Arabidopsis thaliana: one gene and its partners. The protein of the gene in region 2 interacts with the protein of the main gene of each other region in a pairwise test. Each region holds a gene or a part of one and is shown on either strand. Other genes may lie near its edges.

Evidence for each region.
Region 1: the proteins of AT5G43620 (region 2) and CSTF77 interact in a two-hybrid assay, tested with the Arabidopsis thaliana proteins (one study listed by BioGRID).
Region 3: the proteins of AT5G43620 (region 2) and PCFS4 interact in a two-hybrid assay, tested with the Arabidopsis thaliana proteins (one study listed by BioGRID).

What each region holds. Positions count from the first base shown.
Region 1 is NC_003070.9:6,110,611-6,118,499, reverse strand, and holds the start of CSTF77 (Tetratricopeptide repeat (TPR)-like superfamily protein), read left to right. Parts: upstream 1-1,882; 5' UTR 1,883-2,228; coding exon 2,229-2,282; intron 2,283-2,386; coding exon 2,387-2,449; intron 2,450-2,534; coding exon 2,535-2,644; intron 2,645-2,783; coding exon 2,784-2,884; intron 2,885-3,185; coding exon 3,186-3,247; intron 3,248-3,324; coding exon 3,325-3,465; intron 3,466-3,580; coding exon 3,581-3,709; intron 3,710-3,939; coding exon 3,940-3,986; intron 3,987-4,357; coding exon 4,358-4,421; intron 4,422-4,523; coding exon 4,524-4,644; intron 4,645-4,841; coding exon 4,842-4,900; intron 4,901-4,986; coding exon 4,987-5,049; intron 5,050-5,191; coding exon 5,192-5,332; intron 5,333-5,738; coding exon 5,739-5,803; intron 5,804-5,982; coding exon 5,983-6,079; intron 6,080-6,471; coding exon 6,472-6,531; intron 6,532-6,921; coding exon 6,922-7,074; intron 7,075-7,169; coding exon 7,170-7,236; intron 7,237-7,323; coding exon 7,324-7,401; intron 7,402-7,489; and 3 more. UniProt on the Arabidopsis thaliana protein: One of the multiple factors required for polyadenylation and 3'-end cleavage of pre-mRNAs. Required for the targeted 3' processing of antisense transcripts that triggers transcriptional silencing of the corresponding sense gene.
Region 2 is NC_003076.8:17,520,489-17,524,534, forward strand, and holds AT5G43620 (Pre-mRNA cleavage complex II), read left to right. Parts: upstream 1-1,997; 5' UTR 1,998-2,164; coding exon 2,165-3,397; 3' UTR 3,398-3,515; downstream 3,516-4,046. Other genes in the region: SUC6 (sucrose-proton symporter 6), read left to right, coding at 1-1, 351-520.
Region 3 is NC_003075.7:2,470,212-2,476,526, reverse strand, and holds PCFS4 (PCF11P-similar protein 4), read right to left. Parts: upstream 4,662-6,315; 5' UTR 4,445-4,661; coding exon 4,112-4,444; intron 3,950-4,111; coding exon 3,848-3,949; intron 3,759-3,847; coding exon 3,519-3,758; intron 3,063-3,518; coding exon 1,872-3,062; intron 1,791-1,871; coding exon 1,275-1,790; intron 1,155-1,274; coding exon 1,110-1,154; 3' UTR 502-1,109; downstream 1-501.

The DNA of each region.
Region 1 (7,889 bases), on a different chromosome or scaffold from region 2:
TTCACCGTATCTTCTTTTTTATTTTTTGCAACAAAACACGTAAGCTACAATATTAGCATGCATGTCAAGAACCAAAATAGTATTTTAAGGTAGGGCAACAATAGTATTGCCAACATTTCTCTGGATGGGTGAAATAAGCATAATTACTAATTTAGAACAAAGATATTTAATATACGATAAAAAAAACTACTACCTATGTTCCTAAATCCTAACAGAACGATGTTTTAGTTTTTTCGCACATGAATAAGTAATCTTACTTTTTTGCTAAGTTTTTGTAAATTTAATAATATTAATTATGTTTTTCTCTTTCTATATTGATAACATATGAAAGTAATAATGATGTTGAAACAAAACATTAATCAATTATGAAACAAAAAATTCCAAAATATCAATCTATTAGACTAAGAGGCAATACTTAATAGGGGACAAAAATCTGGTCTTAAAGTGTGCTACAAAATTTTCATGCACACGAATAAAAAAAATTGTATTACCAAATTAAAATGTAAACCCATGCATACTTTACGTACATACAGTATATTTTTTTTGCTAAGAATGTAAATATTTCATTAAAAATGAAAACAATTTAGGTTTACAATCCAAAGATTATACTCCTAAAGAAATGGTCCCATGACAAAAAAAGCAAAAAACATGGAAGCATAGATCTTAGAAACATTTTCAGTCCATCCACTCAAACATAAGCACAAATGCTAATGGAGTAAGACGAAGTGATGACGATTTTGAAGTTCTTCCCGGCTCTGATGCTTGAGACGAAGGGCGAATGCAAATTGAAGAGCCGAATTACCAAGATACAAGACACTAGAAGCCTTTCACAGGAGGTCCGAGACTGTGCCGTCAACGGCCCGTCAAAGGATTCCATGAGCTCTCACAGAACGAAACCCCACAAACCAAAGAATGTGAACAATGTGAGCTCACCCTACCAAGTTCCTTCCCGAAGTCGCATAGTACAGAGCTAGATTTTTGAGAGCTAGATTTTTCAACTCAACGCCACACTGAACACCAATAGTCTTACTAACTCCTCTAGTGCCTAGTGAAAAAGCAACCATAGCAAAACGCATTGCAACGCAAGAACTACGACTCTAGGCAACATCAATGGCAAGACACAACAAAACCAGGGCTTATTAGCAAATACAGTATACTATGTATTCGCCCTATATAACAAATATATTAGTTAGGATTCAAACTATAATAAATTACCTATACTATGTATAATAACTATAACATTCAAATGAAATTTCTTCATCTACGTCATTTAAATTAATTTAGATATGATGTTCATTTCCATAATTATCTATTAACGTTGAGTATAAAGTATTAGGCTCATATCTCTAAAGTTATCATTGTATCGACTTTAGAGCTAGAAACTTAAATTGATTTGATTTTGGAAATTGATGAATTAATTAATATCTTATATTACATGTCTATTTCATTGAAATATATCTTCTTATGATTAATTTCTTATTTTACATGTATCTTTATAAGTGTTAAAAGTGAATTCACGAATAAAAGCTATATAATGCTTACTAAAGTGTATATATACAAGCATTATTAGTTTAGTACATGTGGTACGAAAAATGGAGAGTAATTCATGATGTTTCCAAAGAACCTAGGCCAAAATAGATTTCAATCCCGCCAAAGATCTATCAGACTTCAAATTCGAATACACCAACTCTCTTGAACCTAACTTAACGGCTTAACGTTTTATGTACTTAGGAAATTAGTGAAGGAAAAAAAAAAAGAGAGAAATATTAGAAATCGAAAAGATATTGTATGTACCGTAATCGGTCCAACTTACTTTTAATGGGCCAAAAATCTAGGCCCGTAATATTTTTAATATAAGTTTAGTAGAATCCACGTGGACAGTAGAACCGCGGAAAATATTCGTTTCCTGAAGACGGACCGGTTGCTTTGAGTTTCCCCGTTCGACAATAGGGTATCACCGACCACCGTGTTTCGGGCAGACTCGTCGGAGGAGTGTTAAAATTGTTGAATCTCAGATTAGGGTTTACTTCTATGGTAAACTTCTGAAGGTCTGTCTGTTTTCCTGATCTGAGGTCCTTCTAGGGATTTTTTTTTATGGCGTTGAAGCAGCAGAAGCTTTAGCTAGACTTGTCGGAAGATTGTGACACTTATTGAATCTCAGATTAGGGTCTACTTATATTACCATTGAGTGGAATATTTGAAAGACTGTTCTTCCGAAGGTGAAATTCATGGCTGATAAGTACATCGTCGAGGAAGCAGAGGCTTTGGCCAAGAGAGCTTTGGTACAATTCTTTCCCCAGCTATATACTTGTCTGACTTCTCGTACTCTTTCATAAAGTTTAGATTTTTACTTGTTGGGTTTCGTAAAATTGTGTCCTTTCCTCAGCATTCACCAATTGCACAGGCGACGCCGATCTACGAGCAGCTTTTGTCACTTTATCCCACTTCTGTAAGTTTCCCATGACTTTGCTTCCACGTATTTTAAGAGTTTCCTGATGTTTTTGGTTAATTGTGAGCTCCTTTGTACTCTGTAGGCGAGATTTTGGAAGCAATATGTGGAGGCACAGATGGCTGTAAACAATGATGATGCTACCAAACAGATATTTAGTCGTTGTTTGTTGACCTGCCTTCAAGTTCCTCTTTGGTAATGCCATGTTACCCTTTATTAGTCGTTGATAAGAGTCAATTTAACATCTTTTCGTCTCATTGTTGGGTTTCTTGCTCAGCTGCAATGCAAGTCTTGCCATCTCCTTGGATATAATTCTAACATCTTATTCTCTCAGGCAATGTTACATTCGGTTCATCAGAAAGGTCTACGACAAGAAGGGAGCAGAGGGTCAAGAGGAGACCACAAAGGCTTTTGAGTTTATGCTTAACTATATTGGTATTGCTTCTCTTCCGCAGTTTTGGCTCTATTTTGTTTGTTTTTCATTTCAATCATGTCTCATACATAGAGGGAATTTTTTCCGTTTTGTGAGTAATGAATACAGTTATGTTTAGTAAACAATATGATTTGATCAATTTTATGCTTAATATAGTTGCTAATGATAACTATTCATCAGCAATAGCAAGCACATAGTTACGCTTCGTGTCTATGTAGACCTCTAGTTTCCCTTTATCATGCCAACACATAACACAACTTGGGCCTTACAGATGGTTGTTTATTTCGATTTATGAATCTCCAGGGACAGACATCGCATCAGGGCCTATATGGACTGAGTACATTGCCTTTCTAAAATCTCTTCCGGTTCGTTATATCACTCTAACTTTGTCCTTGATACTAATAATTTGTTATTGCAGAGAAACTAATAGATTCCCATGCAGGCTCTTAACCTCAACGAAGATTTGCATCGGAAGACTGCTCTTCGAAAAGTGTATCATAGAGCTATATTAACTCCGACCCACCACGTTGAACAACTTTGGAAAGATTATGAAAACTTCGAAAATACTGTTAACCGTCAATTGGTAAACTTCTAAGAAATTAAAATTATGTGGCTTCTTATTTTCATGAAAAGAAGCAGGTACGAACTTCATTCTCTTGGCTTTGTTGATGGATAATCTAATCTAATCATGTGAGCAGGCAAAAGGACTTGTAAATGAGTATCAACCAAAATTTAACAGTGCCAGGGCTGTATATAGGGAGCGCAAGAAGTACATTGAAGAAATTGATTGGAACATGCTTGCTGTCCCACCAACAGGAACTTCCAAGGTAAAGAATTTATCATCCATTGCTTCTTTTTGGAACTGCTGAGTGCTGAATGTACAATTATTTTCTTATCTTTTTGAGTTCGATAAGATTGGATATATTGACTCTTAAACTGCCTAAAAGACATTATGAGCATAATTCACGTCATGAGATCATGTTATTAAGATAGGAAATACATATTGAGTATCATCTGCTTACTTTGCTACTTTACACCGTCTTATGGTTTTTTGCAGGAAGAAACCCAGTGGGTGGCCTGGAAAAAGTTCTTGTCCTTTGAAAAGTAAATCCCCAATTATCATATACAGTTTTTAATTTTAATATACATTCCATTCAGTGATGATGTGTGTTTTACGTATCTCCTTAGCCATTGTTTCTCTACCATAGCTAGATTTTAATATATCGCAACAGTTAATTGGTCCCTTGGTAGATTTTTTTGATTTTTTCGGTTTACGCCTAATGGTAAGACTTTTATATCTTGTTCCGTCTCTGTGTTTTGCCGATTAAGATTTATGATATTAACTAGAGAGCTGGAATAAATTACTATCCAGTTATGTCTCCAACAAGTGATGATGAGGTCTTATGCATAGAATTGTTTAACGAGTCCTTCTAAATATAACAAACTTCTGTATCTAATACAATTGTAAATTTCAGAGGAAACCCTCAAAGGATTGACACGGCCTCGTCAACTAAGCGGATTATATATGCCTATGAACAGGTATGCGAAGAGTCAGTGAGATGCTCTTGCTGAAATTTTGGAGGACTAATCTCCGAAATGTGTTCATTTCTGAATTGACTGACTATTACTCTGGTTTTACAGTGTCTGATGTGTTTATATCACTATCCCGATGTATGGTATGACTATGCTGAGTGGCACGTAAAATCTGGTTCCACGGATGCTGCAATCAAAGTATTTCAGCGAGCTCTTAAAGCCATTCCTGGTAAAAATCTAATCTATCCTTTTTTCTTTATGTCTATGAACTAGTTGCTTTATGAAGGATCAACTATTACTCTTTGCTTACCTGCTGGCTTACTGTTTTAATCTTATCTTCTATCTACTCTTAAGAAGTCTATTTTCTCTCTGCGACTCTTTTATATTTTTTACTAAGTGTCTACATTTCCCACTCTCGTATGTCAGATTCAGAGATGTTGAAATATGCTTTTGCTGAGATGGAGGAATCTCGTGGAGCAATTCAGGTTTTTATTTCTTGCTGCTGGCTTCTTGTAATTTAGCTTTATTAGTTGTCCGCATACTCGTTGCTTATAGTTGTATGATTTTGCAGTCAGCGAAGAAATTATATGAAAACATTTTGGGGGCTAGCACAAACTCTTTGGCACATATACAAGTAAGTACGCTCAAGTTTCAAAATTTAGGACTTGCGAAGATTGGCATAAACAGCATATCTTTCACTTTGAAATTGTTTCTTTTCTCTGAAAACATTCTCATATGATATATACTTATATATATATATATATATTCTTTCGCAGTACCTTCGTTTTCTCCGGAGGGCTGAGGGTGTTGAAGCTGCTCGCAAGTACTTTTTAGATGCTAGAAAATCTCCTAGCTGCACATATCATGTGTATATTGCTTTTGCTACCATGGCCTTTTGTATTGACAAGGAACCAAAGGTGTATTTTCTTACCCACTATGTGGTGGTCTATATGCTATTTAGAACTGCTTTTGTCTTGTGAAGGAGGTAGTGGTCGTTCAGTCAAGTTCAGAACCCACTCGTCTTATTAGTCTCTTAGTTGTTTAAGTTAACCAGGACCCATGAGACTTTTGTGATAATAAAGTCAAAATGATTTGAATATTGGGGTGTTTTGGCTATTGATGCACTTAAACTCTTCATTTGTTTGCAAAATACATGTACGTTACTTTTATGCCTCGTACATTCCTCTTTGTGCCTTCATTTGTTCGATTCTTTAACAAAGAATTAACATGTTCTTGCAAGACATATATACTAATGTAAACCATCTGACTTCAATTTCTATTCAGTTTCACAATAAAAATCCTTATGTTTGTATTTTTATGCAGGTTGCACATAATATCTTTGAAGAGGGGTTGAAACTCTATATGAGTGAACCTGTTTACATCCTTAAGTAAGTGTCACTGTAGCTTTACTTAGCGTTCCATTTTCTTAAGATACTTGGAAGCTCTTCTTTATTGAAGAAATATTGAGACTTTAAGACCTTCTCAGATAAAATATCCTCAAACTTGTTTCTCTCCCAAACCTTCCTAAGACAGAATTTTAACCATCTGGTTTTGCTTTGCAATCTAGGTATGCAGATTTCTTGACTAGATTGAATGATGATAGAAATATCAGAGCTCTATTTGAGCGGGCATTAAGCACGTTACCAGTTGAAGACTCTGCTGAGGTACGCTGATAGTGATATATTGTTTCTCAAAGCTGTTAAAGTATGCAGATTTTGTTCTTAAGCATGAAAAGAGACAACAAGGAAAATTACTAACCTGCTAATGAAAATAACCAAACCGAGCACCTAATTTGATTATAGCATTTCTGAATGCTTAAATATGATAATGGTTTAGCAATTGGAGGTGTAATCTTGATGCACATCTGAGCCTTATGAACAGTGGTGGGGATAGTAGACATTTAAAACTGAACTGAAAGAGTCCAATATTATTGTGGTTCACATGTAATACTGTTTAAAATGCTAGAACAATAAAGAAGACGACTGGTGTCAATGGGTTACGCCGTTATGCTAATTGATTTCTAGGATTAACTTTTTTCTTGCTCCATGTTTTGTAGGTCTGGAAAAGATTCATTCAGTTTGAGCAAACATATGGAGATCTTGCTAGTATTCTAAAGGTATTTTAACTCATTGAATGTTGTCAACGTATACGAGGAAAGCTACTATTATTAGCTTCCTGTGTTTTGTTAGCATTTTTTGTAGTTGTTTTTCGGTTGACTCCATTATGATGATAAGTTTGTTGAAGGGTCCAAACATTTATATCTATTCCATCTTACTGGCTTTTAGTTGCATGGAAGATCTAAAAATGCTGACACGTTCAACTTATTGCTAGAATAGACTATGTCAGACTCGCACCTCATAAAAGAGACATTTGATCAACGATGAAATTTACTGAAATCAGATCCACGATACATCCAGTATCAAGTGTGGCTGTTTGATGGAGTAGTCTGCTTATCTTCTTAGTTTTTTGCTCATAAATTTTCTTTACTATGACAACCTTGTTGTAGGTTGAGCAGAGAATGAAAGAAGCACTTTCTGGAAAAGGGGAAGAGGGGTCTTCTCCTCCAGAGAGTTCACTTCAAGATGTTGTTTCTCGGTACAGTTACATGGATCTTTGGCCATGCACTTCTAACGACCTTGATCATTTAGCCAGACAAGAGGTATTTTCCATGCAACATATCGCAATTAGCTCAAATAGCTACTAATGATACATCTAGTAAGTACTAATTCTAACCGATCAATGTGTTCACTATAGTTGCTTGTGAAGAATCTGAATAAGAAAGCAGGGAAAACAAATCTACCTCATGTTCCTGCGGCTATAGGTCTGTTCTTTTTAATTTTCTGGTGTGATGGATTATGTTAAACTTTGGTGATGACTGAAGTAAATAAACCGCCTTCTGGGCTGACAGGTAGTGTAGCTTCTTCGTCAAAAGTTGTTTATCCAGATACATCTCAGATGGTTGTTCAAGACCCGACAAAGAAATCAGGTATCTGATTTGCACTTTGCCGCAATATTTGGCTGCACGATGAATGGAATTGTTAACTTATTCTGAACCACTCATGATTTGACTGTAGAGTTTGCTAGTTCTGCAAACCCAGTGGCAGCTTCTGCTTCGAACACCTTCCCAAGTACTGTGACTGCAACTGCAACTCATGGATCAGCCAGCACATTTGACGAAATACCAAAGACTACTCCACCTGCATTGGTAGCATTTTTAGCTAACTTGCCTATTGTGGACGGTAAATCTCTTAAAAACCAACTCCAAGTTGTATCTGAACTGAGCACCTGAATAAGTGTCCACTAACCAACTAGTTTATCATTATCTTCTCAATTCGCAGGTCCAACACCCAATGTGGATGTTGTTCTGTCGATATGTTTGCAGAGCGACTTTCCAACAGGTCAAACTGTAAAGCAGAGTTTTGCTGCTAAAGGCAATCCTCCAAGTCAAAACGATCCCTCGGGTCCAACCCGCGG
Region 2 (4,046 bases):
GGTATTTTTACCTCTCTTTTATAAATATTATTTAAATCTTCTGTAAAATACTAATTAAATGTGTGAATACAAAAAGCTAAATTAAATCAGAGATCGGTTTCCAATTATCTCTACTTTACGTTTGAAGATTACAATTTTTTTATTACGTTTTTATTATTTATAACGTTGTAAATTTATGGTGATATCTGTTATCTACTAACTTAATTAGATTGATTAATTGATATTCTTACGGATTTGGTTTTCGTTAACCATAAGGAATTTGCTATATCAATAGAAAACAGTAATCGTTTTGTGTAACATAAATATTAAAGTGTCAAATTAAGGATGTGTTCTTTTTGTTGTCATCGCAGGACTCTCTCTAGGCGTTTTAAACATGACAATAGTGATACCACAAATGGTTGTATCATTTGGAGTTGGTCCTATTGATGCGTTATTTGGAGGTGGGAATTTACCAGGATTTGTGGTTGGAGCTATTGCAGCGGCAATCAGCAGTGTTGTGGCATTTTCCGTTTTACCATAATTTTTTTTGCGTTTTATTTGGTATATATGGACATGTTTAATATTATTGTAGCACTAGATAAGGACCCATACATGTATACTTGAAATTAATTTAAATTTCTCCTGTTAAATTACTGAAATTAATTTAAAATTTATGGCAGTTCTTACAAATAACACAAAAAATAAGTTAATTCCAAATTTAGCAAATCATCTCCAAAGTTCCAAAGTAACACAAATTAAATACATAAAACTTTTTTTTTTAACTTTATGGATGAATTAGGAAAATGTCGCCTAAAGATAAAAAAACAATTCTCTTGAAAAAAAAATATTCTTATATACCACGGTTTAAAACATTTTGTTCCAAATTGACTCTTAATTCCCACAAATTTTCTTTCTCTGATGGTAGATTATATGAGTCACAAAATTATCATTATTCGGTAGTAACTATTATTTTCTTTGTTTCTTATTAATTAATTTTTTAGAAAAAAAAGTTTGTTTCATGAAGCAATTTTTTAGGTTTTCTATACACTATTTATTAGTTATTATTGATGAATTTTAAACTTCAAGACAAATAATTAAATATCAGTAGTTTAAAATTATATAAAAATGTAAATCACAAAAGTTAATACATTTATAATCAATTTTAACATGTTTTTTTTAATCTATGTATTTTTTTCTAAAAAATGAATAATTAAAACATGACTAAATTTTGGCGACTTTCTATATCGTTTTGGCTAGTTTAATTATTTTATATTTTAATTATTTACAAAGATTGATATTACTGTCTTCTTTTCTTTTCTATTTTTGAACTATATATCACTCGTAAAAACTTCATCTTACACAAAAAAAGAAAAAAAGGTGATACATACGAATCTAAAGACCTGACTGCTTGAGAATACCTCTCTTCCTGGCATCAAAGGGATTGAAAAGAATGAAAATTGCGCTGACCAACGTATAAGCAGGATTGTTAAATTTACTGCACTAGGTTATTAAAAGGCCATACCTCTTCTTCAGATACTTTGTTTAACCACTCGTCTTGCTGATTCCATTTGCGTACAATAACCTTGTTTAGTCAACAAAAGATAGTGAATATATATTCACTTACGGTTTATACAGTTCCATGGTGCTACTAACAGGATATCACAGAGACCAGAGACCAGAACATTACTAAATGACATTTGAGGAATTTGATAAAAGTTCAAATTCGATAAAAGCTTTAAACTTTGAAGAAGTAGTTAACAAACCTGAGTATCGATTCCAACAAGCGTATGCTGAGGAACATCGAGAAAGAGAAGCGTAGCTCCATGCTTTACAAGCTCTAGTGCCTTCTTAGAATCCATAGCTTCCTTCTTCAAAATAGAGCGGAACAACGACTATATTCCAGAAGCCCCATTAAACAGGCCCATTAAAATATTGGGCCTATAAAGCGTGGCCCAAAACATGTGACAACGCGCGATTCACGCGGTTTACTTTATCAACCGACATAATCACATAAACGTTTATTTATAGAGAAACCTATCTTCCTGCCTCTTCAGATTCGTTTTATTTTTCAATCGTTTCAATTTCTAAAATTCTCAACGCGATCACCCCAATCCAAATTTAGGGTTTCTTTTGTCTTTCTGCGATCGATCTCTGGTAACTCATAACTTGTTGTTGAATCGCGAAGATGGCATCAAACGGATCCTTCTCTGCTCAGAGAAACGCAAACGCTGGAACAACGATGAAGAGACGAAACGACAATCGCGGTTACGGTGGCGGAATCGGATGTTATCAAGAGGAGAGGAACCGTTACGCGCCGCCGCAAAAACGTTTCAGATCGCAACTGCAACAGCAATTCCGATCTGGTCATAATCCTCTGTATCATTATGGTAGTAATACTAATAATAACGTGTCTAGGGTTTCTTCTCAGTCATATAACAATTACGGTGTTGATGTGATTGCTTCTAATTCAAGTTTTGCTTTACCTAACAATGATTCTAACACCAACAATTATCAGAAACCCTTTGTTGTTTATGGAAACCCTAATCCCCAAATTGTTCCTCTTCCATTACCTTATCGTAAGCTTGATCCTTTAGATTCGTTGCCTCAATGGGTTCCAAATTCAACTCCGAATTATCCTGTTAGGTCATCGAATTTTGTACCAAACACACCTGATTTTACGAATGTTCAAAATCCGATGAATCATTCGAACATGGTTTCAGTTGTGTCTCAATCGATGCATCAACCAATTGTTTTAAGCAAAGAATTGACTGATTTGCTTAGTCTTCTTAACAATGAGAAAGAGAAGAAAACTTCAGAAGCAAGTAATAATGATTCATTGCCTGTTGGATTAAGCTTTGACAATCCATCATCGCTTAATGTTCGACATGAATCTGTGATTAAGTCTCTGTATTCTGATATGCCGAGGCAATGTACTTCGTGTGGGGTGAGATTCAAATGTCAAGAAGAGCATAGTAAACATATGGATTGGCACGTAAGGAAGAACAGGTCGGTGAAAACCACTACAAGACTTGGTCAGCAACCGAAGAAATCGAGGGGATGGTTAGCGAGTGCATCTTTATGGCTTTGTGCACCAACGGGAGGAGGGACCGTAGAAGTAGCATCTTTTGGAGGAGGAGAAATGCAGAAGAAGAATGAAAAGGATCAAGTACAAAAACAACACATGGTGCCTGCGGATGAAGATCAGAAGAATTGCGCGTTATGCGTAGAGCCGTTTGAAGAGTTCTTTAGCCATGAAGCTGATGACTGGATGTACAAAGATGCAGTCTACTTAACCAAGAATGGTCGTATAGTTCATGTTAAGTGTATGCCTGAACCCCGACCTGCTAAGGATTTGAGAGAGCCGTCGAGGGTAATGTCTGTTACAGTTCCATCGGTTGCGAAAGCTATACTCTGCTGATTGAGATTTTTTATATCTCTGTTTTAGTCATTCGTTTTTTTAAAAGTAAATGTACATTACATTAATCAAGATGTAACACAAATACAGTTCTATCAATTGAATCTCCTATTTTACTCTTATCACCTCTTTACTTTTAATCCGGAGTTATAGAGTCTGTTTTATTGTAATCCAGAATTATAGTATAGATTGTTCCGGATTAACCAGTGAAATCTCACTTGATTCCCGGTTTACATAAACCAGACTCTCTATACCAATAAACCGAAACAAGGAAACCAATTCCTTTGTGTAACTCTCTATATTTATTCTCATTCTAATGAGATAACACATTCACAATCTATAAGTATAATGATGATGTCTGATCTTCCGGTGGCTTTGGTAGAAGAGATACTCTCTAGGGTTCCATTAACATCTCTAAGCGCGGTGCGATCTACTTGTAAAACGTGGAACGCTGTAGGATTAACATCTCTGTAGACTTATATTGGTATATGGTTTATGCGTAAGATTTCTCTTTTAAACCTTTTAAAAGAAGAATCTTTTATTTTGTTAGGTAACCCCTCGTCGGCCCTTTAAGTTTCTTACACCACGTGATCGGTTATCCTATGTATATACTACGTTCGTGAATGACCTATTGGGTATCCAATGCAAATCA
Region 3 (6,315 bases), on a different chromosome or scaffold from region 2:
TCTCTTATCCCATTCAACCAACGGTCCAATTTTCTAACAAAGGCAAAATAAAAGGGCAATGATGTGTGTTCTTAACCTGATCTTTTGTTCTAGCTTAGTTCATATTGCATATTGCAAGCTGTTTTCTTATATTCATACTATAATAGACTATTTTCACAATGTATATAACAAACATGAATTTTACTCCAGCCATTACATCTATTGATCATCACATACTCTTGTTTAGAGACTAACGGTTGAGACAAAGCCAGATTTGAACTGAGTTTGCTCTGCAGTCCTATAAGGTACTACCAGAACTAAATCATAACCTTTAAATCTTTATAATTCCATATTTCAAATGTAACAGTCATGAAAAAACTCTAGTTTGATCGAGCAAAAAGCCAAGTAAGTTCGAAAGCTTTAACTATCGTTCAATCTACTTCGACATAAATCCGGCTCTGTATCATGTAGGTATGAAGATACAAGTAGTGGAAATTTCAAAAGCAAAAGGTTCAGATAGAAGAAAAGTAAAACTTGTTTCATTATAGACAAAGTCAAGAGAACAAATACGCTTAAAGAGAGTTATGTTAACTAACATTTTTAGCTAACAGCCTAACATAGAAAGGTAAAACTCAGACAGGGAAAGCTCTAAAGAAGAAACCTGAAACTGGTTCTCTTAGCAACAGCATCTATGAGATCCATTCATCATAAGAAATCTGTTCACATTCGAATATCAGTCTTCTCGGGCTTTCCCTGCAATATCTAAAGATGAAAAAGAAAAAGACAATCCGAAACAGAGACATTGTATTCCATTTACATGGGGAAACTACTGTTGCGACATCTGATTTTACTACTACAAGCACCCCAGGTTAGGTGTAGCAGAGAATGCAGAACAGTTACACGATATCCATGTCCTAAGGCACAACAGGAATTTAGAGGCATAAAGAATGATAATATATGTGGGTGTAAACCTCTTTTTTTCAATGGTACAGTTTTAGGAGAAAGAAGACTCTCTCCATCATTTCTCTTCATTGGTGGTATTCTGTGACTAAGTGCATATAGATGATGAAGAAATAAGAATGTAACTTAAATGTAGTCAAGAAAAAGACCTAAAATTCGGTCTAAGGGATCTAACTCCGCATCTTTTTCCTCTGACTACCCTCTTCCATATCACCCTGAAAAAGCCATGATCGGGAAATCAAGAGGTCGTCACTGGATAAATGTCTAGCAGCGAAAATGAAAATGGATTCAACTAGACACAAATGAAGCTAATGAAAATGCATGGAATGGCTTACCCCATTGGACTCTGGCCTGCACTTTGCATGCACTATAGGACCTAACTGAGACTTGTCCATATCTGTTGTTGATTCTTCAGGAGCATTCATGTATACCGCACCTTTGTACATCCATTCCTCGGTTTCATCACTATAAAAGTCTTCAAATGGCTCACCACATAATGCACATGAAGTTTGGTCTTCATCTGCAGGAACTGCCATATCTTCGTCATCCTTCTTTTCTGTTGTTGGCTCCGTGGGCAAGAACCCTGGTACTGCTTCAGCTCCAAGTGCTTCTGCACCACTGAGCCACATGCTAGCACTTACAAACCATTTCCGAGAAGGGTTCTGCTTATGGTTCTTGGACATCCTGTTCTTGGTTACATGCCAATCCATGTGCTTACTGTGCTCTTCTTGGCACTTGAAGCGTAGACCACAGGTTGTGCATTGCCTCGGGAGATCCCCATATAAAGCACTGATTGCAGACTCATTACGTATCTTGAGCATGTCTGCATCAAACTCCAACCCCAATGGTCCCTGAATATATAAACCAACAATTCAAGATAAAGCAATAACTAAGAACAAACCGACTCTCAAGGACATGATTTGAATAATTACCTGACCAGCAGGCTGATTGTTCAATGAGATCAAACCTTGAGCCATGAGAGAGCCAATCAGACCAGAGAATGCGCCACCTGGTGGTTGATTAGAGGCTCCTATCTGAGATAAAACTCCTGAAGAAAGAGGATGCATGGCTTCCCCACCTTGGATTGATAAAGATGGTCTAATGGTTGACCCATGTGGAGGGTACCCATGACTTACGTGGGTTAACAACGATTGCATTGGCCTTGGAGCCATAGCAGATGAGGATGGCAAATAATTAACTAGCATCTGATTCTGTTGAGTCATATCATTAAGATGACTCTGAGAGACCTGGTTTTCGGGCCTATATAAAGGCTTACCTTGCAAGCGATTTGACATCGCATTACCGGGATTTGCCAAATGATGCAAATGAGCAGAAGGTACAGGGAGAGAGTTGGGTCCTCTAGCACTCAAATGGGGCCATGTCCCATCAGGAAGAGCCCGGCCAAAACGTGAGTTAACATCTTGAATGCTATCAAATGGAGGAGCCCCGAATTCACTGTTTGATGAAACTAACCCTACAGATGAAGCCAATACTTTCAAGTCTTTTCCTGCTCTTGTATCAACACGGTTGGATGTATGTGGATAATTTTGTGACAAACTCCAATTTTCTCGTAGCTGATGACTTACACCATTCTTAATGTCAGAATCTAAATGAAAATCACTTGTGTTTCCTACTCTGGGTCTTGCCCTTACACTTCCTAATGCTGGTACAGATGATCGCAAAAATTCACCAGCTCTGCTACGATCTAGGGTAGGGCTCATATCTTCCCAATCAAACTCTTCTTCCTCAGTGTTCTGCCATGGTGTAACCATCTTACTGTGCATGCCATTCATATCGCGAATTGGTTTATTGATCGTTACGTGTTTGCTGGTGTCAACTCCATATGCATCTATCAACGCTCTAGGTCTTTCGTGATCATTTCCTTGGCCTAAGTTTTCCTTTCTTCGCCATTCCATATGTTCATCATCTCTGCTAGTAGCTCGACCCATTCCATAGTTAAAAGCTTGATTAGAAGGATTAGCTCCATCATTAGACCTCCTGGTAAAACCATCTGGTGTACTAGACAGTGAAGATGGGCTCTCTAACTGATCTTCGAAATCATTATACCCACCGAGTGAATTTTGGCCATAAACTCTTGCACTGGAATTAATTCCTCTCAAATTCTGCATGTCAAGCAAGAGCAATTAAGGAAATATGCATCTCAGGTATAGTCACTCTTTGAAAAAAAACATATAAAAACAGTTCCAAACGACACATGATGCATAAACAGTGATCTACTGTACTATAACCAAAAAAAAACCCTCTACATGTGCTAACAAGATCATTTCTAATGTACCAGAGTCCCAGTGACCTACTCATCATGTATAACTGAGAGAGGCCATAACAACAACTCCCTTCCAGTCAAGATTGATTACTTGAAGAATGTAAACATCTATCTCGTCTAACTAACAAAACTTTAAAGAAATACAATGGATAAGACCACTATGAGGCCAAACTAATCTAATACCCGTTTTACTTAGTACACTTATATAAAATTAACACACCATAGCTTCAAGGTTGCAGATGCACCTAAAAAAAGAATGTCATCTCTGTTCATAATGACAAAGAGAAAGGCTTACATTTTCGGCGGCTGAGGGCTCCAGCCTGCGAAGATATTTTGGATTAACATGTATACCTCTCGTTGGTTGACTAGGCTCAGAAGCCCCTACGGAAGATTGGTTTGCTGCAGATGAAAGTTGCAATTGCATATCAATCTTGCGTAGTACAGGTGGTGGAAAAACACTCGACCAAGTCCCAAACAGGTGACGCATTGACGGATGTAAACTCGGATGTGCTTGCCTATATGCAAGGCAGAAGACCTAAAGCAGAATAGGATCAAAACAGCTCATGGGTATGCTTCAGCCCTATTCAAATCATTTAAGTAAACATCTTCTTGTAGACTGCTCACCTCGGGTAGACGGGATGAGAAATAGCGACCATAATCCCGCCCAATGTTCTTAACAATGCTGTCTAAAAGATACAGAGATGGCAACTTTTGCTCAACAGGAGCCTGCATATATACACCCACAGGTAACTCAGAAGCAGCCATTTCACTAAACCACAAACCAAACACTAATCTCTGACAATCAAAAACCTAATTTTTTTCCCACTTCTACACTTACATACTATACAATAAGGCTAGAAAGTGGAAACAAATAAGAAGAAAGCAAACCTCAAGGATTCGAGTGCAAATAGCATTAGCGATTCCTTCACCATGTTCCCGTTGTTCACCAGCGATAATAGTGAGATCAGTGATAATAGGCTTAGAATTGAAAGTAAGCTCACCCAAAACAACCTCATAAAGCTGAACAATCTCATCCATACTCGGAGGCAAAACCTCTTCACCACCACCGAACTCATCTTCACGCTGATTAAGCAAAGCTTTAAACCGGTCTAACAACGACGGCGGTGGCGGCGGTTTCTGCGGCAACTCAACGGACATACCTTTGCGGCTGGTGCTATTAATCGAAACAAGTCTTGGATTGAGGATTTTCTCTGAGTCCATCCCCAATTCAATAGTGAAGAGTGATAATTAGTGGCAGCATAAAGGCTCTAGGGTTTCTGTTCCACCATGGAAACTCCTCGAATCGCCACCCTTGTGGGGGAAGAGAGAGATAGAGATCGATAACGGAAGTTTTTTTTTTTTTAGTGAAGAGGATTTTTTTTTCTTCTCAATTTTGTATCTCTACTTTATGCAAATCTCATTTTTGTCCCTTTTTTTTTAGAGTTATCAACTACATCCCAATTATTGTTTTTACCCGTTTTGAGTCACACAGATTTTTGACTTTTACTATGACCTCATCAATTAATCACGTTGCAATTCTCTTCTTTCCCTTATTTGAAAAGTTTGATCTTGCCTCTTGGTGACACTAAATTTAGTTTTGAGGAACTATTTCATTTCTTAGCTTATTTATCTATCTTGATAAAGTTTGAATCTATCTTGTTTTGATTCTACTCATGGACTATGAATGATTTTTTTTTTGGTAGACAATTAGATTTTATATTATTTTTGATTTTTGACAGAAATACAGAGATTAGCAAGAAGCGGATTAAAACAATCTACAAAAATAAATACAACATTACAACTCTAATTCATTCAGTTCGCTTTTATGCGTTCAAGGCTAAGTTACGAGTTGAAACACCGATTTTGAACTCGTGAAACTCGGAAATTTGTGTGGTTGTCACATGACCGAAAAAGTGGAATTCTCATGGTAGTTGCCACGAGCATATCTTCGAGAACTTGATTCAAATTGATACAGTTAAAAACACCACCATCAAACCACGTCCTTGTTACGTTTCTTTAAGTTATATTAAAAAAATGTTGGATTAGTTGTATAAAATCCTATAAGGGTTTGAGTTTATTATTACATAATTATAATTATATAGCTTCCTATTTTATAAGTTTAAATTTAATATTTGTTAGTTCCTTTGTTTTTACATTTTAAAATATAAAGTAATTGCTATTTTCAAAAATGTTAATTAATTAGATGCTAAATATGTTAATTATTGATGTGGCAGCTCCCGATTGGTTGTTTTCAAAAATGTTAATTAATTAGATACTAAATATGTTAATTATTTATGTGGCAACTCCCGATTAGTCGTTCTAAATCCTAGGTTATGAATCCACGCTACGCATGGGTCTATTTGTAAAACTTTTTAATATTTTTTTGTGTGAATAAAATTATTATAGAAATTTTTTAAAAGATATGTTTTTATATGTCTACTTGTTGTTAATATTATAAACTCTTTGAATTTTAAAATTACCATGACAATAGTTACAATTTAAATACAAAACTAAAAATAACTTTAATACAACTTTTAGGTTTACAACATTTATCAAAAGAACATTTTTTTGGCTCATGACTCTCTCTTTAGCTTTAGATATTTAGGATCACGACGTCTTTTTATGTATGAAATAAATTGTTTTATGGAAAATAACTTCGACGACTTTCTCATTTTGAAATCCGTAAATTTACTATTCTTTTTTGTTTATCTTCGCTGCATTAGTTAGTATAGCTCGTCTAAAAATAAGATATTATATAGAAGTATATTCATAAGCTTATCTATACTTTACTTTAACAACTCATATTTTCTCACATTCTTTTCAATATGTATATGAATTTCTGTCTTCACAATTTTTTTACAAAGAGCTATCACTCTCCCTATCTTTTTGCAAGCACTCGTTTTATTTGTTTCATTTTTTCTTACAGTGTCTCTTTCCATCCTCTTATGATTTTGTTTAAGCAATATGTGTCATACCTTCTAAACTTTTCACATGTTCCATATTTTTTCTTCGAAAATCTCTTTCTTCTCTAGTTAGTACTAGGGCGAAACCCGAACCAAATCGCGGGCTTTTTTTATTAAAAAATGTAATTT